7 linked regions of the Sus scrofa genome follow. The protein of the gene in region 4 interacts with the protein of the main gene of each other region in a biochemical or structural test. Links are inferred from orthologs where the notes say so. Each region holds a gene or a part of one and is shown on either strand. Other genes may lie near its edges. The genes, in order: UBE2V1, INSR, IRF1, STUB1, HSF1, HSP90AB1 and ubiquitin-conjugating enzyme E2 N-like.

Region 1 (3,900 bases), on a different chromosome or scaffold from region 4:
ATACCACAGGTATAGCCAAAGAAAACAACAACAAAACAACCAAAAAAAACCAACCCAATCTTTTAGATCTGGGGTTGGCAAACTATGGTCTATGTGCCAAATCTGGCCCTTTGCCCAGTTTTGTATGGCCCCTTGAATGAAGGATTTTTATAGCTGAACATTTGCAATTGGTTTGATAACAGGGAATACTAATCTTGAATCCAATTAAGTAAAATGTCATCTCCAAAAAAAAAAAGCATTCCATTCTTCTCAGCAGATCTGTAACATTACAAAAAACTGTACTCAATTATTACCATTTTGAATTTCATCAAAACAACCTGGAAATTTGTTTTCTCTCATGTATATAAATACTCATTTTCTTTGTTTTTTTGTCTCTTGGCCAATTAAGCCTAAATATTTACTAACTTTGGCCCACTGTAGAAAAAGTTTGCCGACCCCTGCTCTAGGAGACCAAACTGAATCCCAAAGCATCTATGATATTAAATTCTGCTCCTGAATAAATTATATGCCAAGAGGAAGAAGAGCACCGCTTCTTAAATATTAACGCACACTTCTTTTTATTATATTAAAATCAGGCAATGGTCTGACAATAAAAAGGCTGCTTATGGAATACTGTTATGTTAAACTTTACTTACAGGATGTTAAATCCTTAGAACTAAGGTTTTCCCCAGAAAAAGATTAATGGAAACATCAATTGCTTTTCAGACTTGATAGTTGCTGCTTCAAAAGGTGGTTTTATACAAACGCTAAATTAAAAAAAAAAAAAAAAACCCTTAGAACACAATGAATTGCTTTTATTTCGGTATGCATCCACACCTCAGCATTTAGTGGTCCTGAACAGAAAAGTGGAAAAACGCAGCAATTTGCCGGAAAGTCAAGCCCGCCAATTTCGGGGATCTGCCGTGCACACCGAGTTCTTTCTTAATCCCTGCTGAGGACCGTGAGAAGCAGCAGCACCAAAACCAAAGTATGCACCGAATTCAAGATTCTTTTTGTTCCAGTTGTCAGATTCCAAACTAGACCCAAATTGGATTGCAAGGATGACCAAATGAGATACCTTCAAAACTTCTTCAATTTTTAAAAGCAAAAGCAATTACAGGAAAAGAAAACAATTCATTCAGAGGGATTGTGTGTGCTTACAAGTGTCTTCCGTGGCCTTTCTCCAAGTTTAACCACCAAGGACTTCGAGAGCTGGCAGGTCTGAGTAGCCCTGGTGACTGTTCTTTCATCTTATCAAAACCTGAGCTAAAAACGCATCAGCTGATGATGACAGCAGAGGGTGGCAGGGCTGAGAACCCAATATTCATTTCCCAGGCTGGTGGAGAGTAAATAAACATGGTTCCAAAACTAAATGAGGGCGGTCAGAGACTCTTTCCAACCTTACCTGATGGCTTCTGGCCAAAGCAAGGAAGTGCCATGGAAAGTGTTGGGTGGTGATGGTGCAAAAAGGGATTTGAGGAGGAGGAAGGAAAAAGCAGCACCCCTCGATTAAGGTAGGGGGAGAAGATATGGGGAAAGCCCTGAATTCCTCACCAAAGGCCAATTTCAGAGGGGAGCAGAGGGGGTTACAATCTATGCTTCGGCCAAGGGTGGGAGTGGAGAGTTGGGGAAAGGATGATGGCTTGGAAGGGAGGCATCATTTAAGACTTAAAAAAAGAAACAAGGGGTGCAGACAAAGCACCCCCCCATACCCAGCAGTAGTCCAACAGGCTGTGACCTGAAACCTTCACATCTACTCTAACAAGCCACCCCAAGCTGGAGGGCTGTTGCAGGGAGGGAGGGAAGCAGGGGGAGGGGAAGGGGAAAAGGCAGAGACCCTAGGCCATGTAATCAGCAGCAAGGTGATTGTGTGATGTGTCTTTTCACAGTTGAGTTAGATGTGCCCCACCGGTTATGATGGGAATCAATTTAAATATACTTTCTTGATCCCAGAAGTTCAACTATGTGGACAGTGGTTACACTTGACAGGATGATTTGTTATAGCACAACTTATATATTTCAAATGGACAAAAAAATTAGTATCATTTACAGTATCTTAAGATAAATTGCCTTTGAATGGAAGCTTCCTTTCCAGTACTTTGAGGTCTACAAGATGTATCTAGAAAATTTACTACTGTGGAAAATGAAGACTGCTTAAATCGAATGGGGGGTAGGGGAGGGCCTGTGGTTTTTCTTTTTGATTAATTGCTGTAACACTGTCCTTCAGGCGGCTGAGGGAGTTTCATATTTTCTTTAGACATCATTAGGCGTCGAAGCTCTTGCAGAACAACTTTGATACTATATGAGTTCTGCCATTTTGCTAGCACTGATATGGCTCTTGGGTCCACCTACACAAAGGCAAACAAAAGCCAAATTACTGTCAGGTTCTCAAACAAAAGAAGAGCTGTATGCTGAAGCTAAGCTACAGAAGAAACACTGAGTAAAACGCATTTTTTCAAATTGAACATGCTGATCACGCAATGGTATGTGACACACAGAGTGTTCATGGGACTCTCTCCTTCCAGTTAGTCTGTTTCCCCCTTTTTGTGTCCCAAACGCTCACTGTTTGGGAGAAGGAAATTATGGATAAGCAAAGCCACTTTTAGAGAAATGGTCCTGACACTTGGTGAGACTCAATCCAACTGGCTCTGAAACAATGACATGACCTGACCTGCTTCTGGGCCAGCTGCTGCCACTACTCAGGACCAAGGCTCTAATCACAAGGGCCTGCCTCAGAGTCATCCCTTTTCAAGTCGTGCGGCTTCTCCCAAAACAGTTTCTCAGTGTGAGCAGAGTCCTGGATTCAGCACTTCAGGTGGAACTCAGACAACACTGAACACAGAAACAAGGCTCACCTCTTTTCTACTTTGTCAAGTTTTCCGACTATCTCAAAACAGAAGGCTTATTAGCTTGTGTGATGCTAATATGTAGCATCTTTAATACTTGCTGATCTCCTCTCTGAACAAGAGAGCAGGGATCAGAGGCTCAAAAGCCTTTGGTAAGCAACATATGGTGGAAAAACTATCAAGCTTGTTTTGTTTTTTGTAACATTTGCCATTGCCATCACTGCCTTCTTATGACAAATGAGACTGGTTTCCATTCATGGTAGTGAAAATGGTGGTAAAAATAAGTTTAGGAGTTCCCGTCGTGGCTCAGAGGAAACGAATCTGACTAGTATCCCTGAGGATGCAGGTTTGAACCCTGGCCTCGCTCAGTGGGTTAAGGACCCTGCACTGCCAGGAGCTGGGGTGTAGGTCAGCGGCCACAGCTCTGATTTGACCCCTAGCCTCGGCTGCATATGCGGCCCTAAAAAGACAAAAAGTTTGAAAAGCAAGGCCATTAAAGGAAAAAAAATACTATGCATTAGTCGTCCACAAAAAAGGCCCATGAGGTAAAAGCGTGACCTTGAGCAAGATCTTTCACCTTCATGCCTCCGTTTCCTCCTCTCTACCTGCTGGGGGTTTATCAGGAGACTGAATGAGCTCTTATCTCAAAGTGACTGGCACAGTGCTGAGTAACACAGGGCAGAGTAAATGCTGCACAAGGAACAGCTAAACACAACTGAGGAAGAGGCTTTCATTCCAAATCTGCACGTTTATACTGCAATATCATCAAATAACCAAGTAACACATGGAAAAACTACTTACCACTCCATTAGAACTATTAACTCCATTCATATTAATTTTTGTTACAAATCTTACAAAGGGGGGTGCTTCTGGGTATTTAGGTCCACATTCTATTTTAAGGCTGTATATTCGGTTTTCATAAATTGTCTGGAAAAGAAAAAAGGGTACAGCCATGTCAGGCAATTACAAAGAATTCAAAAAGGTAGAACTTCTGAAACCCCATTTATTCCTGACTGCAGAACTGATGCATTTGCTTCCATTACTCAAAGTCTACTTGTTACTTGAAAAGTTAGCA
Region 2 (3,634 bases), on a different chromosome or scaffold from region 4:
GGATGTGATGTAGATCAAAGACACAGCTCTGATCCTGTGTTGCTGTGGTTGTGGCGTAGGCCAGCAGCTACAACTCCCATTCGACCCCTAGCCTGGGAACCTCCAAATGCCGTGGGTGTGGCCCTAAAAGGACAAAAAAAAAGAAAGAAAGAAAGAAAGAAAGAAATAATATGCAGGAGTTCCCACTATGGTGCAACAGGATCAGTGGTGTCTCTGGAGCCCTGGGATGAAAGTTCAATCCCAGCCAGGTGCAGTTGATCAAGGATCCAGCATTGCCATACATGTGGCATGGGTCACAACTGCAGCTGGGATCTGAGATCTGATCCCTGGCCCGGGAATTCCATATACCACAGGGCGGCCAAAAAAAAAAAAAAGACGTAATATGCAAACACAAGCACATATATAGGCATCATATAAAAATACAAGTGTGCATGCAGAGATAAAATTTGCAAACACAAACCAAGCAGATATATCATGTTCAAATGCAAGTATCCATGCAAAGGACAAATACTTTTGCATGAGCACCCCACACACCGAACCTCCTTTCTACACTTACACTCTCTCTGGACAATTGTCAGGTTGATCCAGATAGCCTCCATCCATGACAAATTTCAACACCTGCTCGTTTGAAAGGCCTTGGTAAGGCTGTTCTGCCAAGCTGGTAATTTCCCAAAGGACGACGCCAAAGGACCTGTCAATGACAGTTGGGAGTAGAACAGAGATGCCATTAAAATACACACAACACAAAACACACACACACACACACATACACACACACACACACACACACACACACACACACACACACCTTCTTGGTTTATTAGAACCTGGTCAGCCAGTTCATTAAAACAATTCATGTTGCAATTCATTGAAGTTCCCACTGTGGCTCAGCAGGTTTAAAAACCTAACTAGTAACCACGAGGATGCAGGTTTGATCCCTGCCCTCGCTCAGTGGCTTAAGGATCTGGCATTGCTGTGAGCCATGGTGTAGGTCGCAGATGCAGCTTGGATCCTGCGTTGCTATGGCTGTGGTGTAGGCTGGCAGCTATAGCTCCGATTCCACCCCTAGCCTGGGAACATCCATATGCCTTAGGTACGGTCTTAAAAAGCAAAAAAGCAAAAAAAAATTATTAAAAGAAAAAAAATTCAGGAGTTCCCTTCGTGGCTCAGCAGTTAACGAACCCGACTAGTATCCATGAGGACCTGGGTTCAATCCCTGGCCTTGCTCAGGGGATAAAGGATCCAGTATTGCCGTGAGTTGTGGTGTAGGTCGAAGATGCGGCTTGGATCCCATGTGGCTGTGGCTGTGGTGTAGGTTGGCAGCTGTAGCTCTGAGTGGACCCCTAGACTGGGAACTTCATATGCCACAGGGTTGGGTCTTAAAAAGCAAAAAAAAAAAAAAAAAAAAAAAACAAAAAAAAAAACAAAAAAAAAAACAAAAAACAAACAAACAAACCCAAAAAACAATTCATGTTGCAGTTCAGAAATAAAACTCTAAGACTAGTCTCCATTGGTAGCTGCGCAAGGGTCCCCAGCATGACATCCTCTTCCCTTTCTTGGTGGAAAGGCCATGAGGAAGGCGGTTTTCAATGACCCCTCTCGCTGGTCCCCCTAGTGGAGCAACAGGGAATTCAAGCCCAGGGTTCTGTCCACCAACCCACCCGCGACTCACCACATGTCGGAAGAAGTGGTAAAGACCCCGTCCTTCAGGGATTCGGGTGCCATCCATCGCACGGGCAGTAGACCCTTGCCCCCTTTCCGGTAGTAATCCGTTTCGTAGATGTCTCTGGTCATTCCAAAGTCTGATAACAAACAATTCACATGCGCTTAGCCTTCAGCCTGGGGCCCAGCTGGCTGCCGTCTTTACTGCCCCAGATGGGCTCACCTGCCCCAGGTGTGTGCGCCAAATCCAGTGGGAGTGGATTCTGAGGGCGCTCACGGGGACGTGGAGGGGGAGCATGGGCCACCAGTTAAAGAGAAAGAAAAGGAACCACCACGTAGCAAAGAAGCGACATTCTGGCCTGCAGAGGGGGAAGCGCCTTCTCAACGCTGCCTTGCCACCCACGATGACCTCACAGGCATTCCAAACTGAATCTTCCACTCCCTGTAGCCAACACTACTCGTCCCCATTGGCTGTGGCCACACCAGCCACTCAGCTACCCCGCCAGAAACCCAGGGTTGGGTCCTCCCTTTCCTCACACCCCACCGTCAACAGGGGTGAGTCTAGCCACTCACCTTCCACATCCTCCCCCTCCCCCGCCCCCAATGTAATCTCTTCCTCTCCACAGCCCTGGACCCACCCAGATCCAGCACTCTCTCTCACCTGCAGGACCCTCCCTCCATCCCGACTGCCCGAGAGAAGCTACATACATAGGATCACATCACATCCTGCTTCCCTGGCTCATGTAGGATAAGGCCTTTGGGGATCAGAAATCAATCCGTGTCACTTCCTGCTGCTGCGCACCGGCTATATCGGGCAATGCCTAGATAATGTTCCGTGACTTGCAAGGCCTTTCAGTATCTGGTTCCTGCCTCCCTCCTTTACTCTCACATCTCAATGCTGCTTTGCTCTCCTCATCATGAATTTTATTCACATCAGCCATCCCTCCAACCCCACGGCCTCTGTGTGCCCTGTCACTTCCCCTAGGAGGCTGCCTTTTGGGTCAACTTTTTCTTTTCTTTTTACATCTGCGTCTGCAACATATGAAGGGTCCCAGGCTAGGGGGCAAATCAGAGCTGCAGCTGCTGGCCTATGCCACAGCCATGGCAACACCAGATCCTTAAGCCACTGAGTGAGACCAGGGATTGAACCCAAAACCTCACAGAAACAATGTTGGGTCCTAACCACGAAGCCATGGCGGGAACTCCCCAGGTCAACTTCTAATCCTGCAAGCCTTGGTTAAACCATTGCCTCCCTACAATGAGAGGGGCTTTTCCTCTATTATGGAACTGAACTCCTCTTTTCTTTCTGGGTCCTTTTCCCCATCTCCATCATCTTCTTTACCTATGTGTCAACTATTTCACTGTGCACCCAGAACAGCTCTGCTGAGTAGAACTTTCTGTGATGATGAACGTGGTCTACATCCCCTGTCCAGTATTGTTCAAGGTGCCCAGGGTGACTGACGTTTACGTTACGGAATTTAATGTGAACATAAATGGCCTCCTGTGGCTGGTGCAGATAAAGACTGCAAGCTGCACAAGGGCAGAAAAATCATAGTGACTTATTCAGCCTTGCACCTGGAGCGCCTCCTGCAGCAACTGGCACAAATACAACTTAAAGAAGTGAATGAGGGGAGTTCCCGTCGTGGCTCAGTGGTTAACGAATCTGACTAGGAACCATGAGGTTGGGGGTTTGATCCCTGGCCTTGCTCAGTGGGCTAAGGATCCGGCATTGCCGTGAGCTGTGGTGTAAGTGGCAGACGCAGCTCAGATCCCACATTGCTATGGCTCTGGCGTAAGCCGGCGGCTACAGCTCCAATTTGACCCCTAGCCTGGGAACCTCCATATGTCGCAGGAGTGGCCAAAGAAATGGCAAACAGATAAAAAAAAAAAAAAAATAGTGAATGAGTGGAGTTCCTGCTGTGGCCCAACAGGAAGGGCAGTGCCCCTGCAGTGCCAGGATGCAGGTTCAATC
Region 3 (2,617 bases), on a different chromosome or scaffold from region 4:
CTCCCTATGCCGCTGCCTACTGTGGCAGACAGTGCAAGAGAACATTCCCATCAGTGCAGAAAATGGACAGCAAGTAATGCTTGGCACAGCAGGCCTCAGGGACCTTTTGGGAGCCGGTGTCTGATCTGTCTGTGACTGTACTGTACCAACTGTTAACTTTTTGGAGTAGCATCTACCTGAGTACCCTTGCACTATGTTTGGCAGGACATCAGAGTCTATGGCACATTCCTTAGGAAAACTCAAAACCTAACACTCCCCAGGCCCCAGAAGCCAAAATTCATCTCAGTGACTATATTTACATGAGCATGTCCATGTGCAACGACTATCCTTTCTCCTGGCATCTTCTCCATGAACATAATTGAAAGGACTTAGCAATAGGTGCATATGTCACTCACTGCTCACCCCAAAGTCAAGCTCAGGCAGGATGCCAACAATGAATCCATCAGAATGTATCTACAAAAAGTAAAATCATCTACAATTTATTTCTAAATAAAGGGCCACACCCCTTATAAACAGTTAACTTTTTATAAAAAGACAAATGTACATATTTACACACATATACATGTGTGGTCGCACACGACTTAGTGGTCAGATGACATTTCCAATTTTAAAAGTCACATCAAGGCGCTCACACTTGCCTCCCTGGGCCTGCTGAGGGGCTGCTGGGGCCTGCTTAAGGGGCAGGTGGGTATAGGGCAAGGCACTGTATAAATAAATGCAAAGGCTAGAGCTTGGGGAAAACATTAGTGTACACCTCTGATCAAAAATGTGGCAGCGTCCACAGGAAAAGTGCCATGTTTTTTCACAAGCCCCCCAGCCCAAGCAGGGAGCAGGGCAGAGCTCCTCTGAGGCAGAGGGGACATGTCCCACAGGACCCCATTCTTCCTTCACATTTCTCTGGCTTTGGAACAGTCCCCAAGGCTCAGCTAAGAAGGGAGGCGAATCTTTGGGAACAGGATTCACTTAGTGCAATCGTCTCTTAGTGCAGAGCCAGCCCTGGGGTTGGTGCTGTGCTTTTCTGAGGTCAATGGTCCATTCCCTTGGGCCAGCTCAGTGACAGCAAGACCGTCTCCAGGCAGCTGGGCTCAGAGGGAAGAGCTGGAGGCTGACTCCTGTCTGAGACCTCTTCCTGACACACCACTCTCAGAAGCCCATCTTCCCAGGAGACAAGGCCAGCTTTACCCCACAACATGAGTCCAGATCTGGCTTGCCAGGCCCCAAGAGGCCATTGTTCCAAGGAAACTGGCCCCATCCCCGGTCAGCAGTGGGGTCACACTTTGTCATGTCAAGAGGCCACAGGAGTCCTGCTTCTCTGCACCACAGCCACCATGATGCCAGGTCCCGCTCACCTAGAGGACTAAAAGGGAGCCAAAGGCCCGCCTACGGTGCACAAGGAATGGCTTGGATGGAGGGCAGCCTGACTGGGGTCAGCAGGTTGTCCAGCCAGCTGGTGTCCACGTTCTTCAGATCTGAAGATATCAGCCCAGTATACCCTAAAGATGTGAAAAAGGTTGTGTGAGGACTGGGGATAGGGAGGCAGGTGTGTTCTCCCTGCCACCCTCCAGTCCTATCCCTGAAGGGCACAGGCACAGCAGCCTCTGCTTCCACCCAAGGGCGGCCTCATCTTTAGGATCTTGGAGCAGGAGCCAATTTGCAAGCTATCTGGACCCAGATGCATTTATTTATTTATTTATTTATTTATTTACTTATTTATGTATTTATTTTTAGGGCTGCACCTGCAGCATATAGAGGTTCCCAGGCTAGAGGTCGAATCGGAGCTGCAGTAGCAGGCCGACACCACAGCCACAGCAACACCAGATCTAAGCTGCATCTGTGACCTATACTGCAGCTCATGGCAACACTGGATCCTTAAACTACTGAGCGAGGCCAGGGATCCAACCCATATCCTCATGGATACCAGTCAGATTTGTTGCCGCTGAGCCACAATGGGAACTCCTGGACCCAGATGAATGTCAAAAAGGATGCTTTACCTCTGCTGCTCTCTAGCCCTGCCCCCAAGCCTTCCCCACCTACTACATGGTTCTCCCTTCTCTGAGAAACCGTATGGATCCAGGGTCTTCTTACCCCCAGGGCTTTCAACTTCTGGCTCTTCCTTGCAGCTGAAGTCTCCATAGACAGCGGTGGGCTGGGCCCCAGGTTCATTAAGCAGGTACCCCTTCCCATCCACGTTTGTCTGCTGCCACCCTGACTGCTCCAGGAGCTGGGGACAAAGAAACAAGAAGGCATCAGCTCACTTCCTGTACAGACTCATCCTTTGGCCCTGCCTTCAATGAGCCAAAGCTTCCCAGCCAGGATCCCATCCTTGGCCATTTTCACATCCTCAGATAGATGTAGATGTGCACTACAGTTAGCAAGGGGCCGGGGAGGTGAGGGTCTACCGTCTTAGAATCTCCAAGACTTCCCTCTCAACTGGGTAAGGACATACCAACCGGGAGTGTGGCTAAAACAATGGTTAACATAGTAAGTCAAGAAAAGATACCTAGAAAATCTAGAGTTAAGGAACTAGGCCCATGTCTCCATTTTCTGTGCTAATGGAACAGAGGCTGGGTACAACTCTTACAAAAACTTTTTAATAAAAAATTTAAAAACTGAAGAA
Region 4 (4,111 bases):
TGCACCCTCCACCCTGACCAGAGTCCTGAATGCCCTCCCTCGCTGCCAGCAGTCTCCTCACCATGGCTCAGAGCTGTGGCTCGCTCCTGCACCCGGCTCAGGTACAGCAGGTAGTGCTTGAGGGTGTACTGCAGGGCTGGCAGACCGGGCACCGCGGCCACTGCCTCCTCAGACATGAAAGCTGCCACCTCGGGAGCTCCGGCAGCCAAGACCGCTATGGGCAGCAAACAGCCAACACTCAGGCCCCACCAGCCTCAAGACACCTTCGGGGCTGCCATTCGCAACAGCTCTTGGTGTCATGAACGTGGCCATCAGGCGATGTCCCAGGCAAATGTACTAACAGACCAGGTTCCGCCCGCGACCCTGCCAGGGCGCCAGGCTCTCCCGACTAACCCGAGGCCGTGGCCGGGCCCACGCCCCGCAGGGCGCGTAATTCCGTGACCGCGGCGTGCATGTCTGGCAGGAGGGGGAAGGCGGCAGCCGAGTGCTGCACCACCAACTCCGGGGCGTTGGCGCTGACGAGCTGATGCAGGCGCGGCCTGAAGCGGCCCCGCTGGTCAAGTCGGGGTGGGGGTCACGGGTGCTGGACCTCGCTAGGGGCCCCGCCCCACAGCGCGAGGGCCCGCCCCCGGGCGAGCCACGCCCACGCCCACACCGCTACGCCCCGCCCCGGAAGGAGGCCCCGCCCCCCAAGTGGGAAGTTCCTCACAGCCAGCTTCCAAGCCAGCAGCTGCCCCAGCTCTTCTCGAGTCACGTGCTTCTCCTCCCGGCCCTCGATGGCTGCGGGCAACGCCTCTCGATACCTGGAGAAGAGCTGTGACGGCGACTCCGGGCCACGGGGGTCCCCCGCCCACCCGATGCCCCTATCACCCTACCATCGGTCCAGGGCTTCCAGCCGCCCCTGGGGGCCCGCGCGCGCTCGGAGCACTTCCCCGTGGCGGCCCAGGACGGCGGCCCAGAGGCTCGGGTCCTCACAGCCCCAAAGGCCGCGGGCCGCCGCCATGTCCACGCGCCGGGGCAGGGCTTCGGGGGCGGGGCGCCGGGGCGCCGGGGTGGGCTTCCGCCCCGACGACCTCGGCTCTCCTCAGGTTGCCGACGCCGCGCGTCGAGTCGCCGCGAGCGCACGCTCCCTGCCAACCCCGCCCCCGCGGCGCGTTGGGGGCACGCGAGGCCCCGCCCAACCGCACGGCCGGAAGTTCCGGTGGCAGAGCGCAGGACTGGGCCCGAGCGGATCGCGGGCTCGGGGTGCGGGCGCTGGGCGGGCCGGGCGCGGAGCCTGGGAGCGGAGCCCAGGCCGTGCCGCGCGGCGCCATGAAGGGCAAGGAGGAGAAGGAGAGCGGCGCGCGGCTGGGCGCCGGCGGCGGCAGCCCGGAGAAGAGCCCGAGCGCGCAGGAGCTAAAGGAGCAGGGCAACCGGCTCTTCGTGGGCCGCAAGTACCCGGAGGCGGCGGCCTGCTACGGCCGCGCCATCGTGAGTGCGCCCGGGCCGCGGGAGGGGGCAGGCGTCGGGGCCGGAGGAGGGGCCGGGCCGGGCCGCGGCTTCGGCCCCGCGTCCTCCCCGGAGCCCCTGTCTGGCCGCCCCTACCGGACTTTCGGAGGGGATGCACTTCGGCTCTGAGGACTGAGTGATCTTCTCTCAGAGAGGCCAAGGCTACGGCTCCCGAGCCAGGGTTGGTGGTCAGAGAACTGTGGCGGGTGGGAGCTTCAGGGTGCTTGCAGCCCACTGGGCTGGGGGTCCAAGCCCAAAGCTGGGGATTTTCAGGAGTCTGGGAAACCTGTCTTCGCAAGACTCGTTGGAGTCGAGGGGGCGGGCTCAGGTAGGCTCCACCCTTCCTCCGCGCCCAGAGACCTGGGTGCTGAGAAACCTCTAGTGTCTTGATTCCAGCCGTGGGTCTCAAGCTAGGACAGAAAGGGCAGGCTGAACTCACTCCCTCATGTTGGCTGGTCCGGCCTTGGTCCCCAGACCCGGAATCCCTTGGTGGCAGTGTATTACACCAACCGGGCACTGTGCTACCTGAAGATGCAGCAGCACGAGCAAGCCCTGGCTGACTGCCGGCGCGCCCTGGAACTGGACAGCCAGTCTGTGAAAGCACACTTCTTCCTGGGGCAGTGCCAGTTGGAGATGGAGAGCTATGATGAGGCTATTGCCAACCTGCAGCGAGGTGGGCTTGCTGGCTGGCCTGTTCCAGGGTGCCTGGGACCAGGCGGGGGGACTGGCTCGAGGGTTACCCGGATCCTTTGTTCCCCCAGCCTACAACCTGGCCAAGGAGCAGCGGCTCAATTTTGGGGATGACATCCCCAGTGCTTTGCGCATTGCCAAGAAGAAACGCTGGAACAGCATCGAGGAGCGGCGCATCCACCAGGAGAACGAGCTGCACTCTTACCTCACTCGACTCATTGTGGCTGAGCGTGAGAGGTGGGCTGTGGTGTTCATGGGCTCCACCCCACCTCCCAAAGTCACCATTCTTTTTTTCCTTGTTTTTTTGTTTTCGTGTCTTTTCGCCATTTCTAGGGCCCCTCCTGTATCATGTGAAGGTTCCCAGGCTAGGGGTCCAATCGGAGCTCTAGCCGCCGGCCTACGCCAGAGCCACAGCAATGCGGGATCCGAGCCGTTGTCTGCGACCTACACCAGTTCTTGACAACGTCGGATCGTTAACCCACTGAGCAAGGCCGAGGTTCAAACCTGCAATCTCATGGTTCCTAGTCGGATTCATTAACCACTGAGCCATGACGGGAACTCGCAAAAGTCACCATTCTGAGTCGTGAACATAAGCGTTTATTGAGGACCAGCCTGGGAAAGCAGGAGATGAGGGAACAGGGCCTGAATCGGCCCAAGGTGGAGTCTGATCTCCTCTGGCCAGACCCATCTCTGATCAGCTGTGTGGTCCACCCCAGGGAGCTGGAAGAGTGTCAGCGGAACCACGAGGGTGAAGAGGATGACGGCCACATCCGGGCCCAGCAGGCCTGCATCGAGGCCAAGCATGTGAGGGTGCCCTGCCCACGTGTGGGTCCTGTGTGTATTTGCACGTGTGTGATGTGAGGTGACCCTGGCTCCTGTTGGGTCTTTGTGGGCGGGGTGCCTGGGGAAAGGCGACAGGGGCTCAAGCTTCTCTGGAGCTGCCTGGTTTTTTGTAGGATAAGTACTTGGCAGACATGGATGAGCTCTTCTCCCAGGTGGATGAGAAGAGAAAGGTAAGCTGCCTGTTCCCTGGGCCCTGTGGGTAGCAGGAGCCAGGGCAGTGCCCCTTCCCGCTCCTGACCTGAGCTTGGGTGCTGCAGAAGCGAGACATCCCTGACTACCTGTGTGGCAAGATCAGCTTCGAGCTGATGCGGGAGCCGTGCATCACGCCCAGTGGCATCACCTATGACCGCAAGGACATTGAGGAGCACCTGCAGGTAAGGGTCCGTAGCCGCTGGGGGCAGGGCCCACACCCACTGGGCATCTTCTCATTCTGATCCTGTTGCCACTGCAGCGCGTGGGCCACTTTGACCCTGTGACTCGGAGCCCCCTGACCCAGGAACAGCTCATCCCCAACCTGGCCATGAAGGAGGTCATTGATGCGTTCATCTCGGAGAATGGCTGGGTGGAGGACTACTGAGGCAGGGCAAGTGGGTGGGCCCCTCACCCACCCTGCCCAGTATCCTGGCTTCTTGGGAGGGCCTTGGGGCAGCAGCCCCTAGCCTCTGTACATAGTTCGTGTCCCTGGATCCCCACCCTGGTATCCCCAGCCCCAGCCCCACCAGTTCTGCTGGGCCATGAGGCTCCCCCATCCTCCTGTGCCAGAAGCGGCAGGTGAGGGTGGGCCAGGCCGAGGTTGCTGCTGCCACCACTGTCCCTGTAATAAAATCTGTGAGCACTATGGGGGCGTGTGCTGGTGTGCAACGGCTTACCAGCCACCCCCTGGGTTAGCTGAGGAACGTAGAGATGAAGACGCTGATGTCAAGGTTGAGTGTGGCGTGCCACCATCGGTCAGGGAAATACAGCACCTAGTGGATGGGGTGAGAAAGGCACAGGGATTGGTTGCAGGCCCTTGGCCCGGCCCAGCCCCTGCCTGCCAACCACTGACCTCACCGGCCTGGATGGTGCATTCCAGGGGCCGTGCAGATGGTGC
Region 5 (4,410 bases), on a different chromosome or scaffold from region 4:
GGAAAGAGAAAGCAGAGCCCGCGAGCTGGCAGGCACTCTCCCGGCCACCCGCCCGGAGAGCGAGGACGAGCACACCAGAACACTGCTCGCTCACCCACCTGCTGCCCCGTGGCCTTCTCCATCCTGCTGTGCTGCTCCTCGCCGCTGGCCCCGTCCTCCTCCTCACTGCTGTCACTGCCAGAATCTTCCAGGCCTGAGAACACACTCTCCTCGCTGTCAGACAGGCTGGGAGCCGGGGCGCCGGGGAGAGAGGGCTGCAAGGAGCACACTGTCGGTGACCAGCTCTGTGTGGCGCAGGACCAGAGCTGCTTCTGAGCAGACTTCTGCCCACCAGACACCACCCCGGCCCTAACTCCACCAGACAGGGTGCACGGTGGAACAAGAACCTGCAGACTCTTAGCAAGCATTCATTGGAAGGCAAAATTCTAGATTTCATTGTTTTTCAATAGTTCCTGAGTCTCTCGCCAAACTGGACAGCCTGCACGGAGCAGCTACCAAACAGCACTCAGCACACACTCTATCGTGCCTAACTAGCTACACAATTACAACGGCAAGTAAAAATGGCACAAATGTTTTGGGCACAAACACAAACAGCCGCTGATGAATACAGAGGCAAAAGCACTACAAGTGGGTGAGCATGGTGCCCAGAGCTGCCTGCCGGCCAGGGAGCACCACGAGCACTTGTCACAAGTGAAGGGGCAGCCTGATAAACCAGCAACGTGGAGTCCCAGCTGCGAGGCTCGACTGCACAAGCCTGCTATGGCTTTCTACCACCGAGATTTGATGAGATTTGATGACACCCCCACAGCGCGGCTGGGGTTCCGCTGGACAGGAAGAGCATGAGTCCAGCTAAAACGGGCCGTCCAGTGCAGCAGGCGCTGCTTTCTCATCCTCGTTTCCTCTTCTACAACGTCTAACGTGTCAGGAACATTTGGCTATACAAGCAGCTACTGCAGGCTCAAATCTTCTGCGCCCAGATGACAATTCAAAGGCCCAGGAAGACCGCTGCGCAGGACGCCGGCTCTCCTTCCTTATTCTCTCCGGCCCAGACCTTCTTCCGACCCACACAACCGCCAGCCAGCTCCCTGCCCAGGACGCCCCCGCAAGGCCGCCGGGGCGGAGGACAGGAGACCCCTCCCTCCTCGCATTCCCAGGCCCGCCGGGCGCTGGGCGGGATCGCTCCCCGGCCGGTGCCGCGGCCCAGCCCCGCCGCCCCCCCCCGCTCCCGCTCCCGCTCCCGCGTCACCTCCTCCGGCTCCCGCCCCGGCTCCAGCATCCGCTTCCCGGGCCGCGTCCCGGCCACCGCCACGCGCCGCGCGCCCTGAGGTCCCGCCATGCCGCCCGCCGGTCTGCCCTGCGCCGCCACTTCCGGCAGCGACGCGACCGCGTGGGCCTGGGGGCGGGCCCGCGGGGTCAGAGGGCGCCGGGCGGGACGGGGGCCGGTGTGCGTGCGCGCGCCGTGGGACGCGGGCGGCGCCGGCGGGAGCGCGCCCGTCGCAAGATGGCGGCGGCCATGCCAGGCCCCGGGGCCGTGTGTGCGCAGCGGGCGGCGGCGCGCGGCCCGGGCGGCAGGCGCGGCAGCGGCGCTAGCCCGGCCCTCAGCCCCTCCTCGCGGTCCCGCCTCCGCCTCTCCCACCTTGCCCGGTATGGATCTGCCCGTGGGCCCGGGCGCGGCGGGGCCCAGCAACGTCCCGGCCTTCCTGACCAAGCTCTGGACTCTCGTGAGCGACCCGGACACGGACGCGCTTATCTGCTGGAGCCCGGTGAGGGGCCGAGGGCGCCGGCCCGGGGCGGGGAGGCCGCGGCGCGGGGGCCCAGGACGGGCAGGCCCGGACCCCGCCTCGCAGGCCCGGTGTGGGGGTGGGGAGCAGGGGGTAGTGCGGGGAGAAGCGTCGCAGGCCCGCTGGAGGTCGCTCCTGTCCACGCCGCTCTCCCGCGTTGGGTAGGAAGGGCTTCTGCCTCCGTGGGCTTGCGCTTGCTGCCTGTGGGACGACTGCGGGACGCGTCTGTGCTTAGAACAGCCCCCGGCTTCGCTAGTGGACGCTGGGCCCCGGTGGCCCCAGAGTTCCAGTGGTGTGGTGGGCAGTTATTCAGGGTAAATCAAGTCTCGGCCCTGGAACTGGAGGGCGTTTCTCTAGTTCGAAAGGAGAGGGAGCGAAAACAGAAAGCACAACGTCATAAAGTTCAGGCTGGTCTCGAGCCCGGGTCCAGATCCCAGAGCTGCTTTCCCAAGAGCGACTCGTGTTTCTTGCTCTGTGCGCGACTTTATTCACGCCCTGTCTCCCGTTGCCTGGCAGCGGGCAGGTGATTTACATGGTCTGACTCCGCAGGCTGGACAACTCCAGTTTGCGGAGGTTGGACTTGGAGATGGACGTCCTGGCTGTGACGTCGAGGTGGGGCAGGTCGGAGCCACGGCTCGCGGCTGGCAGGGGGGTGGCCTAGGCCACCGTAGTCGTAGGCAGGCTCCGGGCGCCTCCAAACGTGCTTACTCTCCTGAGCGCCCAAACGCTGGATTTCTTGGACCCCACTGAGTTGTTGCCTGTCATCCTGCTGAGCCCTTGGAAAGGAAGAGCAGTCTGGGCTGAAAGGAGCCCAGAGCTGGAGGCCACGTTCTCTCGTTCCACTTGTCCCTTTGAGGAGACCAGAAACCGTGCTGCATTCCCTTGGGGACACTGTGTGTTGTCCCAGCAAATATCCATGTGGCGTTCTCCATCCCAGGCCCTGTTTCTTTAACGGTGGGAACCACCCCTTGTTCCAGGCCTTGAACTTTGCCGGCCAAATGAAATGACCCCATTTTTCTGTCTTTTTCCCTTCTCCCTCTTCTTGTCCCTTCCCCGTAACTCCCGTTTGGGGGAGGGCACCAGAGGTCCTTTGGGATGAACCTACTGTGGGGACATCCCGCCTCTCAGTCTGCTCCAGGCCAGGCGAAGCACAGCCAGCGTCAGCTTGCTCCCCAGGCCTCACGGCCTGTATTCCAGGCAAAGCCTGGAGCAGGAAAGCGGACATGGTCCAGCCCGTGATGGTCTCTACTCAAGGTGGCTGCGCCCCCAGGCATGGTCTCCCTGGGGACAAGCGGCCATGGAGCAAGAGCTTTTGATCCTCCTTAGTCTGTACACAGAGCGAGTAGGGTGTGCTTGGTGCAGGACGCAGTGGGGCTGGCCCTGAGAAAGGAGACCAGCCCCTGCCTGGGGCCGGCAGGGTGCCCACAGGACCCCCGGGCCTCTGTCTCAAAGTCCGCTTGGAGCCCTTTGCCGACTCGCAGCCTGGAGTCCTGCTGTCGGAGGCCCCGGACAGGTCTGACGCCTGTGCCCTTGGCCCTTCCCCTTTGTGCTGGAACTTTGCTCATTGTTCCACCAGGAGAAAACCTCTGCCTGTGGCCCAGGGAATGAGGGGGAGGAGGAGGTGCAGTGGTCGACTCTGTGGTCTGCGTGATGCATGACCACGGGCGGGTGCCAGCCCTGGGAGCTGGGGCCGGCCAGCGGGTCGCTGCTCCAGAGGCACGTGTTGGTTTGCCCGCCCTTCCAAAGCCTTGTCCCGTCAGATGCGCCCCGTGCGGCGCCACGGCTGAATAGGCAAGGGCTCCCGCGGGAGGGGACTTGGTGACCGGGAGTGTGGCCTTGGGAGTGCTACCACCACGCCCCCTGGGACATAATGGGAGTCAGACCCTTCTGGCCAAGACTGAGGGCCTCTTTCTCCCAGGAACCGGACCTTGCCAAGGCCACCAGCCCAGGTGGCCCAAGTGAGTGCCACACTCAGGGATCGCTTGAGAGGGGCTAGTGTCCAGGTGGAGCACGGTCTCCGTGGTCAGGTCCCCAGCTCCCTGTGAAACCCCTGGCCACTCCAAGCTGGCAAAGGACCATTTCCAGAGACCCCAGGACAGGCAGGGCCGCCCTCTCCCCTGCCCGGAGCCAGGCGGGCCCCACCAGCCTGCTGAGCTGGTCCTCCGTGCAGGAGCCCGCAGTTGCCCCCGTGCTGGCTTCGAGGGCCACTGCAGAGCCTGGAGGTTCCCGGGGTCCCTGCACCTGATGAGCGTGCGTGGCCGCCGAGCAGGCCTCTGCCTGCCGCAGCCAAACCTTTTCCACACGGAGCCTGTCGCGCCTCCCATTGCCCTGCACGAAGGTGAAGGTGGCCTTTTTACAGACGCGAAACCTGAGCCTCGGAGGTGACAGGAAACGCGAGGAAGACCCTGAAGTGCACAGGCCCTTTGCCCGCCTGCCCCACCGACCGCGCTCTGACCGCGCCGAGTGTCGAGTCTCCAGTCGGGCGTGGGGTCCAGCTCGGGCTCCACCCCCCCACCCCGCGGTCTTAGCCGGGCCCGGCCGCACGTGGCTGACCAGCGCCCGGGGGTTTGTAGAGTTGTATTTTGGATTTTTACACGAGAGTCCGCCTTTCACCTCCCGCACAGACAGA
Region 6 (4,297 bases), on a different chromosome or scaffold from region 4:
GACTACAGAAAATAAAAAACCAAGTGTCTCCTGCAGCAGACAATTGAGTTACCAGTTCATACTCACATAAAGTGTGATGGGATAACCTATGAACTGTGAGTGCTTCTTTACCACCTCTTTCACCCGTCTCTCTTCTAAGTATTCTGTCTGGTCCTCCTTAAGATGCAGAATGACCTTGGTACCTCGGCCAATGGGCTCACCTAGAAAGTCAATCAAAACGGAGTGAAAAAGAAAACTAAGTGCTGAACAACAAAGACCAATGTCTCACCATTAGAATGCTCAAGATCTTTACCACTGTTCCCTCAGAATTCTATCCCCGACACCCAACAGGAAAATCAGCCTACCATGGTCAGCACGAACTGTGAAGGAGCCCCCAGCAGAAGACTCCCAGGCATACTGTTCATCATCATTGTGCTTTGTGATCACAACCACTTTCTCTGCCACCAGGTAGGCAGAATAGAAGCCAACACCAAACTGTCCAATCATGGAGATGTCTGCACCAGCCTACCAAAAAGTTTTAAAAAGTCAAACACAAGTTTTGAAGAAACAGCAAACTAAACATCAATGAATATGAATGGTGCATGCCTAGCTGAAATACCACATACCTGAAGAGCCTCCATAAATGCTTTAGTACCAGACTTGGCAATGGTTCCCAAATTATTTATGAGATCAGCTTTGGTCATGCCAATGCCTGTGTCTACCAGAGTCAGGGTGCGCTCCTGGGGGTTGGGGATGATGTCAATTTTCAGCTCTTTACCACTGTCCAATTTGGAAGGGTCTGTCAGGCTCTCATAGCGAATCTTGTCCAAGGCCTGAAAATACAAATTGCAGTTTTACAATTCTGCTTCCACCTCATCCAATAGAAAAAGTTTTTTCCTACTCCCAGATAACCTCATTTCTGATAACCCCTTTCATTTGAAGCTTGAGACGTACATCCAGTTAGAGTACGCCATCTATCCACATAAAGCAAGGCAAAACCTTTTTAGAATTGAAGTTTATATTCCCTTCAAAAATAAAACCCACAAAATGCCCAATCACCCCTCTCCTTCTTTGAAGTACTCGAGAAACAAACAAATGCCAATGAAGACGCTCAGGGAACTCACATCAGAAGCATTACTGATCAACTCCCGAAGAAAAATCTCCTTGTTGGAATAAAAGGTATTGATGATGAGAGACATGAGCTGGGCGATTTCTGCCTGGAAGGCAAAAGTCTCCACTTCCTCCTCGCCATGGTGCACTTCCTCAGGCATCTAAAATAAGAGAGATGAAGAACTTTGGACTCAAGTTCACCCCAATTACAATAAAGACACTAAGAGGTTCAGTTCAAGTTGTTCTGAACCGAGTACTGAGATGCAAGACCTTTCCTTTAAAGACTTCAGGCTGCGCCCTCAGTCTGAGAATAAGAGGGGCGGGGGGGGGGGGGGCTGCTAATACAGCCCCCAAAATGCCTTAAGGTCTCTTAAGCATTTTGTTAGGATGTTAGGCGATCCATCCACGGATCAGCAGCCTCTCATCACCTGGTAATCTCTTAGGCATGCAGAGTACCTCGCCCAACCCCGGTTTCTTAAATGTGAATAAGCAGAAGACCTACATACATATTCAAATGTACAAATTAGTAACTACGGTTCTACCATTTCTGGTGGAGGGGAGGGAGCCCCCCCCCCAAACAGACCAGTTTTACCTTAAAGGGGCTATCATTTGAAACTGCTCTCCCTTCACCTCCAGGAAGATGTGAAATTGCTACCTCACGTGGTAAGGGAGGCTAACGCGAGAGAATCGTGGGATACCCACTTGGGATGCCATTAAGACAAAGAACCGATAAAGCAAAAGGCTCCACTCTGTCCCTGTAGCACACGTGACTGAGGTACAGGACCAAACCAAATACAACTAAGATGGTGGCGTAGTCCGCGGGGCCGACGCTCGTCGATGCCGGACATGCGTCGGCCAGGACCACGCGAGGAGGGGGCGCCACCGCGCAGCCTCCCTTCGCCTCAGCATCCGGGCACCAGGGCGGGGCGCCGAGTTCCAGAACCTTCCAGAACAATTCCAGCCAACGGGGAGAAAAGAGGACGACGAAGAAATGCTCCCATAAATTCTCAAGCCTGCCTCCTCCGCTACCCCTCCACCCTGACTGCAGGAATGAGCTCGAAGCAGGAAGCACGATGGGCCACTGGAGCTCCAAAGCATCCTTTGCCGCAAACCCTCACACTAAGGACTAGAAAAACTCCCTTCTATAAAAGAGATGGCAAAACCTACCCAGAACCATGCTGTGCTGAGTCACACCGGGCCCGCACACCCACCAACCTTGCCCACCCTCTGGCGCCCCGTAGTCGCGTCCGGAAGTAGAGGGGCAAACATGGCAGCGTCCCGGGCCGGCGCGGCTACCACGTGTAGCCGCCCAGTCCCCCAGCCCCACTCGCCCAGGCCTAACAGCCGCCTAGAAGGCCCGACACCAAGCATGGAAGGAAAAGCTAAACTCGAGAGCTCCCTTCCACCCACCCTCTAAAAAAATTGGGAGCGTTGTCCAGCAAACCGCCCCAGCACGACAAAAACTTGGGTCTCAGAAAGGACAGAATGGACGAAAGCAACCTGAAATTTAACCAGAAATGCCTTAAGAGTGCAACCTTACCTTAAAGGATAAGGATCACAAACACCACAAAGCTGAGCGGGGAAGGACTGCCTCCGGCTCTCACGCCAGAACAAGGCTGCGCGGGGGGTGACTCAAGAGAACGGCTGTGAGACCCCAGTCGCTTTATATAAGGCGAAGCACACCTTCGCTGCCCGCCCCCAGATCCCTCCGCCTTAAAGGAGGCTGTCTGTCAGCCCCGCACCTGCCGCTGCCCGCCCACCTTTACGTCATGGTCCAAAATAGGGGAGGGGGCGGTGAAGAGCAAGGGCGCGCATGTGTAGACTTTTTCTTAGTCCCATCTCCGCGTCCTGAAGACAGGACACCACCAGAGCTAGATGTTGGGTATACTCATAGGACAAATGCCGTGGCTCTAGGGAACAGAATCCCCGCTGACCTCAGTAAAAACCTGTAGAGCAGGTGCCTCCACACCAAAGAATCCCAGAGGAACACCTGAAAGGGGACCAACTACTCCCACCTATGCTCCCTCCCTGCTACAATCTTCCTTACACATTCCTACTGCCCAATAAGGGGAAAGGGTCCTTTCCGGGGACACTGGGGAATTTGAAGCCGAACTTTGGGCAGCCCGCGAACCCTGGCACTCCCAGGGGACAATGGGCAGTGCCAGCGTCTCGCTGCGGGGCGTGGCTTCCGCTGCTAGAAGGTCGCCGGCTCGGGTGTGGAGGGCACTCTTTGTCTGCAAGCGGCGGAAGGAGCGACAGTGGCGGTGCTGCGATCTTCCAGCAGTTTCCAGATCCGCCTCTACGGTCCTGTCCCGCCCCGCCCCGCCCTCTTCCCTTGGGGCTCCACCCCTTTTTCTGCGGACTGGGCTGTGCCTCTGCGGCGGCTCCGCCTCTCCAACGTTATGCTTGAATCTCCGGGAGAGGTGGGCAACTTCGATCCTATGTTGCTGGCGGGCAACTACACCCGGCACCCTCTTCGCCACCCGCCAGACCCAGCTCGCTCAGCATTGCGTCCAGGGTGGGGTGGAACAGGGATGATCCCCCCTTTCTCCCCCGTCAGTCACACAGCACACGGGTTATTGGGGCGGCTCTGCGAGAACCGCCTTCGGAGCCGAGACTGAGGGTGGCGTCGCTACCTGAGAAACCCTCCCCAGCCTCTGCAGCCGCCCACGCGTGTCGCACGCAGGGGCATGCACATACAATCTGGTTTCCTTTTCTTTTTACAAAAATTCTTTCCCCTCCTGCAACTGTCTAGGTCTGGGGAGGGGAGGATCTCCAGGGACCCCCGCTGGGTGGCGGGGGTTCTAGGAGGTGGCATGAAGACACCAGCGCCTTCATGCTGGCCAAAGGGCTGCTCGCTCCTGGCGGGCAGAACCAGGTTGTTCCCCTTCAGCTGCTGCGGCGCCGGAGCCCCCAAGCCAAGCGCCGGCCCAGCTGCCTCGCCTGGCCCTGCCGCTTTTGCTTGCCTTCGGGGCGGGTACGCTGTCCTCGCCTTTCCAAGGCCTCATCTCTGGAGCTCACCCGCCCCACAGCCCCTCCGGGAGAGAATGACCGCTCCCTGCGCCGTGACCTTGTGGATGCCCAGCAACTCCCTCAACTCCCTTCGTGGCCCACTTTGTCCGCCCCTGGAATGCTTGGGAGAGGGATACCTCCGACCCGCAGACCTCCCTCGGCAGCCCTGGTGTGCAGTCTTGTAGCACTTCTTTGT
Region 7 (4,188 bases), on a different chromosome or scaffold from region 4:
AAACGAAACAATCTTTTGATAGTTCAAAATGAAAAGAAAAAAGTGATGACTCTTTTTAAACCTTTTTTGACATGGACATTTTTATGCTACACACACAACGTGGTACAGGTTTAGAAAAAGAACAAAGTAAGCCAAAATCGGATACATTCCTTTTTAAATGTAATCTGAAGGGAGTAATAGAAATGTCTTTGAAGGCTGAAGCAAAATGTAACCTACTTGAGTGAAAAATCAATAAGCTATCTTTCAGGAAAATTGTACTCAACAATTGTCTAATGGTCTTTTAAAGGAAGTAAATAAACAAATGGAAATGAGGAGTTTAGGAGACAGCCGCCTTATTTTTTTTAATCCTAACAATCTAGTTCTGTGTGAGACTTTTTTTTTTTTTTGCCCCACTGCCATTTCTTCCTCTTCCTTTGCTATCAGAACCCTGATTTGATTCTGGGATCCTGGGGCCACCTGTGAAAGGCAGACCAGATCCTGAAGCCAAGGCAAGCATCATGATAGGTAATCATGGTAATCTCAATTCCTTCACCAGGGCCTGATTTGGTCCTTGAGACTTAAGGGGAGATTTACATAGGAGGAGGGCCTTGGTCTAAAAATAGACTGCCCCACATTCAAAATAAATTCAAGGAAGGAATTATTCTTTGTTTTTTTTGGATGTTGTGAGTCTGCATGTGATGCCCAGGGCTACTACAGCCATCTTGCCACCATGAGGCAAGACATCAGGCAGGACTAATATTGAGGATAGTAGAATGAAAGATGGAAAACATCTGGGCTGATGACATTTTCAAATAACAATAGCCCTGCAATTCTCTCTATTTTAATGAGATAATACCTTTCCTACTGTTGAAAGCCTTTTAAGCCATGCTTGTTACTCATAGATAAAAGCATCTCAATGGCCACAACTTCAGAGCCTAATAAGGAAATGCATTGCCATGTTTAAAAATGTTCTGATAAACTGACTTAAAATAAGTAGTCAGTTCTGGGATTCATTGAAGATATTATCAGTGATGTAACTAAGGAAACATTTTCTCTTTTGGAACCAAATTGAAGCAGTGAAGAAAATAAACCATTAACTAGGAACTGCCAAACAACAGTCCCTAGGCCAAATCCCACTTGCAGACTGTTATCGTAAATCCTGTAAGACAAAACCAATCTGTACTTTTTTTTTTTGTTCTTCCTAGGGCTGCGCTCGCAGCATATGGAGGTTCCCAGGCTAGGGGTTGAATCAGAGCTACAGCTGCTGGTTTACACCACAGCCACAGCAATGTCAGATCTGTGCCGTGTCTGAGACCTACACCACAGCTCATGGCAACGCCGAATCCTTAACCCACAGAGCAAGGCCAGGGATCCTCATGGATCCTAGTCAGGTTTGTTAACTGCCAAGTCACAACGGGAACTCCTATATTTTTTAATAGTTGAAAAAAAACATCAAATGAATAAGAATATTTCATGACACATGAAAAGTATATGAATTAGAATTTTGGTCTCTAGAAAGGAAGTTGTTAGAGCATAGCCATGCCCATTTGCCTGTGGCGGCTACATGAGAGCTGAGTAATTACAGTAGAGAATATATGATCTTCAAATGATCTTCAAAGCCTAAAATATTTACTCTCCGCTCCTTAAAGAAAAGTTTTGCTGACCATTGCTACAGACCAATGGACTTACCTCAAATTGCATGGTAGAATTACTCAAGGAACTTTCAGAAATACTGATACCAGGACCCATCTAGACCAATTAAATAGAAATAGAGCCAGTGAATCTATTACAAAGGCAAGGCTGAAAGCCATTTCTCTACGTAATGTGAGTGCATACAATACAAGTGAGCTTCAACCTGGACAGATTTAATAGGTTTAGAGAAAACGAAATAAATCTAGCTTCGAACCATCATTTATAACCCCAAATTCTCTGCCATCAGCCTAAGTTTCACCTGTCACCAATTCAATTCACAAAGCACAAAGCGGTGTTTGCAACCAGAATGTTAGAAACAACAGTGTAAACAGTACATCCTTGTTTAAATGTTGACCCAACTGGCACACATGGGTGGTACTGGTTGTTAGCACTCCAAGACAGAGTGGGAGTGGAATTGAAGAAAAACAAACAGAGGAAAGAACTAGACTGTTAACAGCTAAAAAGTATTTGGGGAAACAATTATAGCCCAAAAGGATTAACGGAAGGGAATAATATAGCAACAATGACCAGAATGTAGACGTTTTCACTAAATTCTACACTGGATCAGAAAATATCACTCAGGTATCATTTTATAAAAAGGAAAAGGGGTGCAGTTCCTGGTCTGGCCTGGAAGGAGCTTGAAAGTCATTCCTCCATTCTAAAAACAAGAAAAAGCCGAACAAACTGAAAAATCACCCACTCTTAAATCCATGAGAGAACGAAGGTCTCAGGGCAAATCTCGGGCCCTCACATTAGAGAGACAGGGAGACACAGAAAATCACAACTTACCAGAGCGGAAACCCACAAGCAGAAACCTCCTCAGGAACCAGTGCCGCAGTCAGGAAAGCTGAACTGTATTTGACAGGTGGCTGGAGCCGCAGAGTAGACAAATCGGAGAATTAAATATTCCAGAGGAATCCACACTTTGTGAGCTTTGCCTCTAGGAGCCCTACTAGACTCTCACAGTGGAGATCTGAGAGGAAAATCTTCTTGTGTTTCCTGAAGAAGGAGCCGAAGAGGAACCACCTTGAAATGTGCCAGAGCACTCACTTCTTAACAAGGTCCGCCTGCAGGAGAAGCTATTTTCTAGGGCCTAACCTGCTGGGATTTTATCTGTGCCTAACTGACCTAGGGGAAGGGAAATGCCCAGCCCCAGCTGGCTCTATTCTTACACTGGGGAAGCGAAATACGCAACTCCTGCTCCTCTAGGCATCTTGTTCCAATTAAGGGGGGGGAGTGGGGCAAAAAAAAAAAAAAACCCACAACAACAGAGAAGCACGTGTGACGTTCACAGCCCAGCAGCACAGGCTCATCAAAAGACTGACACCTAATCATAAAACTATAAAACATTTTCCCTTCCCCCACACCTAACCACCACATCATTAAAGGCCTATTTACTGCAGTTCCTTTTACTCAGTACAAGTCCATCTTTCAAGAAAAACTTGTAAGGCATACTAAAAGGCAAAAGACAGACACCATTTGAAGAGCCAGAGCAATGTTCAATCCCTGGCCCAGGAACATCCACATGCTGTAGGTGTGACCAAATGCATGCATATATAAATAAAGACATACGTAAATTAAAAATAAAGGCATGGAGAAAGATATGCCATGCTAACACCAGTCAAAAAAATTCAGGAGTAACTCTACTAATTTTAGACAGAGCAGACTTCAGAGCAATAAAAGTTATCAGAGATATAGAGGAGCATTACATAATAATAAAGTGGAATAGATTCAGATATGGCAAGAATGTTGTTAGAATTATTACACCAGGAATGTAAAATAAATATGATGAATATGCAAAGGGCTAATGGAAAAAATAGACAACATGCAAGAACAGATGGGCAATGTCTGCAGAGAGATGGAAATTCTTAGAAAGTACCAAAAAGAAATGCTGGAACCAAAACACTGTAACAGAAATAAAAAAATGCATTTGATGGGCTAATCAGTAGGCTGGACACAGCTGAGGAAAGAATTTCTGAGCTTAAGGAAATGTTAATAGAAACTTCCAAAACAGAGATGCAAAGAGGGAAAAAAAAAATGGAAAAAAAACCCAAAAGATAATATCTAAGAACTGTGAGACAACTATAAAAAAGTGTTACATATGTATAATGGGAATACCAGGAAGAGAAAGTAATAGGAGAAATATTTGAAGCAATAAGGACAGCAATTTTCTTTAAATTAATGTAAAATGCTAATGTCAGAGACATCAATCATGAATAGTTCCAAAAAACACTACACCTAGGCATATCATATTCAAACTACAGAAGATCAAAAATAAAGAAAAATCTCGAAAGAAGCCAGAGGAGAGGAAAAAAGCCTTACTTATAGTAGAGCAAAGATGAAAATTACATGCAACTTCTCAGAAACCATGGAAGTGGAGCAGAGTGAAATTTAAAGTGTTCAGAAGGGGAAAAAAAATCAACCTGAATTCTGTACCCTACAAAATTATTCTTCAAAAGTGAAAGATAAATTTAGACTTTCTCATACAAACAAAAACTGAGAGAATTTGTTTCCAAA

Evidence for each region.
Region 1: the proteins of STUB1 (region 4) and UBE2V1 form a complex in vitro, tested with the Homo sapiens proteins (4 studies listed by BioGRID). The link is inferred for Sus scrofa from reciprocal best matches to the Homo sapiens genes STUB1 and UBE2V1.
Region 2: the proteins of STUB1 (region 4) and INSR form a complex in vitro, tested with the Homo sapiens proteins (2 studies listed by BioGRID, with this or other methods). The link is inferred for Sus scrofa from reciprocal best matches to the Homo sapiens genes STUB1 and INSR.
Region 3: of the proteins of STUB1 (region 4) and IRF1, one has a biochemical effect on the other in vitro, tested with the Homo sapiens proteins (4 studies listed by BioGRID, with this or other methods). The link is inferred for Sus scrofa from reciprocal best matches to the Homo sapiens genes STUB1 and IRF1.
Region 5: the proteins of STUB1 (region 4) and HSF1 form a complex in vitro, tested with the Homo sapiens proteins (2 studies listed by BioGRID, with this or other methods). The link is inferred for Sus scrofa from reciprocal best matches to the Homo sapiens genes STUB1 and HSF1.
Region 6: the proteins of STUB1 (region 4) and HSP90AB1 form a complex in vitro, tested with the Homo sapiens proteins (3 studies listed by BioGRID and IntAct, with this or other methods). The link is inferred for Sus scrofa from reciprocal best matches to the Homo sapiens genes STUB1 and HSP90AB1.
Region 7: the proteins of STUB1 (region 4) and ubiquitin-conjugating enzyme E2 N-like form a complex in vitro, tested with the Homo sapiens proteins (11 studies listed by BioGRID and IntAct). The link is inferred for Sus scrofa from reciprocal best matches to the Homo sapiens genes STUB1 and UBE2N.

What each region holds. Positions count from the first base shown.
Region 1 is NC_010459.5:51,629,700-51,633,599, forward strand, and holds the end of UBE2V1 (ubiquitin-conjugating enzyme E2 variant 1), read right to left. Parts: intron 3,753-3,900; coding exon 3,627-3,752; intron 2,328-3,626; coding exon 2,181-2,327; 3' UTR 534-2,180; downstream 1-533. UniProt on the Homo sapiens protein: Has no ubiquitin ligase activity on its own. The UBE2V1-UBE2N heterodimer catalyzes the synthesis of non-canonical poly-ubiquitin chains that are linked through Lys-63.
Region 2 is NC_010444.4:71,929,644-71,933,277, reverse strand, and holds part of INSR (insulin receptor), read right to left. Parts: intron 1,803-3,634; coding exon 1,673-1,802; intron 692-1,672; coding exon 557-691; intron 1-556. UniProt on the Homo sapiens protein: Receptor tyrosine kinase which mediates the pleiotropic actions of insulin.
Region 3 is NC_010444.4:134,775,671-134,778,287, forward strand, and holds the end of IRF1 (interferon regulatory factor 1), read right to left. Parts: intron 2,222-2,617; coding exon 2,086-2,221; intron 1,494-2,085; coding exon 1,381-1,493; 3' UTR 512-1,380; downstream 1-511. UniProt on the Homo sapiens protein: Transcriptional regulator which displays a remarkable functional diversity in the regulation of cellular responses.
Region 4 is NC_010445.4:41,092,262-41,096,372, reverse strand, and holds STUB1 (E3 ubiquitin-protein ligase CHIP), read left to right. Parts: upstream 1-1,191; 5' UTR 1,192-1,311; coding exon 1,312-1,470; intron 1,471-1,962; coding exon 1,963-2,161; intron 2,162-2,249; coding exon 2,250-2,415; intron 2,416-2,752; exon of another isoform or gene 2,753-2,894; coding exon 2,895-2,982; intron 2,983-3,134; coding exon 3,135-3,191; intron 3,192-3,278; coding exon 3,279-3,395; intron 3,396-3,472; coding exon 3,473-3,598; 3' UTR 3,599-3,859; downstream 3,860-4,111. Other genes in the region: uncharacterized protein LOC100524737, read right to left, coding at 62-214, 394-553, 710-803, 876-1,003; JMJD8 (jmjC domain-containing protein 8), read right to left, coding at 3,906-3,986, 4,067-4,111. UniProt on the Homo sapiens protein: E3 ubiquitin-protein ligase which targets misfolded chaperone substrates towards proteasomal degradation.
Region 5 is NC_010446.5:483,539-487,948, reverse strand, and holds the start of HSF1 (heat shock factor protein 1), read left to right. Parts: upstream 1-1,483; 5' UTR 1,484-1,501; coding exon of another isoform or gene 1,502-1,646; coding exon 1,647-1,763; intron 1,764-4,410. Other genes in the region: ribosome biogenesis protein BOP1, read right to left, coding at 99-254, 1,247-1,336. UniProt on the Homo sapiens protein: Functions as a stress-inducible and DNA-binding transcription factor that plays a central role in the transcriptional activation of the heat shock response (HSR), leading to the expression of a large class of molecular chaperones, heat shock proteins (HSPs), that protect cells from cellular insult damage.
Region 6 is NC_010449.5:39,242,348-39,246,644, reverse strand, and holds the start of HSP90AB1 (heat shock protein HSP 90-beta), read right to left. Parts: upstream 2,872-4,297; 5' UTR 2,630-2,871; intron 1,251-2,629; coding exon 1,104-1,250; intron 813-1,103; coding exon 606-812; intron 505-605; coding exon 345-504; intron 201-344; coding exon 67-200; intron 1-66. UniProt on the Homo sapiens protein: Molecular chaperone that promotes the maturation, structural maintenance and proper regulation of specific target proteins involved for instance in cell cycle control and signal transduction. Undergoes a functional cycle linked to its ATPase activity.
Region 7 is NC_010443.5:26,024,452-26,028,639, reverse strand, and holds the start of ubiquitin-conjugating enzyme E2 N-like, read right to left. Parts: upstream 2,833-4,188; 5' UTR 2,461-2,832; intron 1-2,460. UniProt on the Homo sapiens protein: The UBE2V1-UBE2N and UBE2V2-UBE2N heterodimers catalyze the synthesis of non-canonical 'Lys-63'-linked polyubiquitin chains. This type of polyubiquitination does not lead to protein degradation by the proteasome.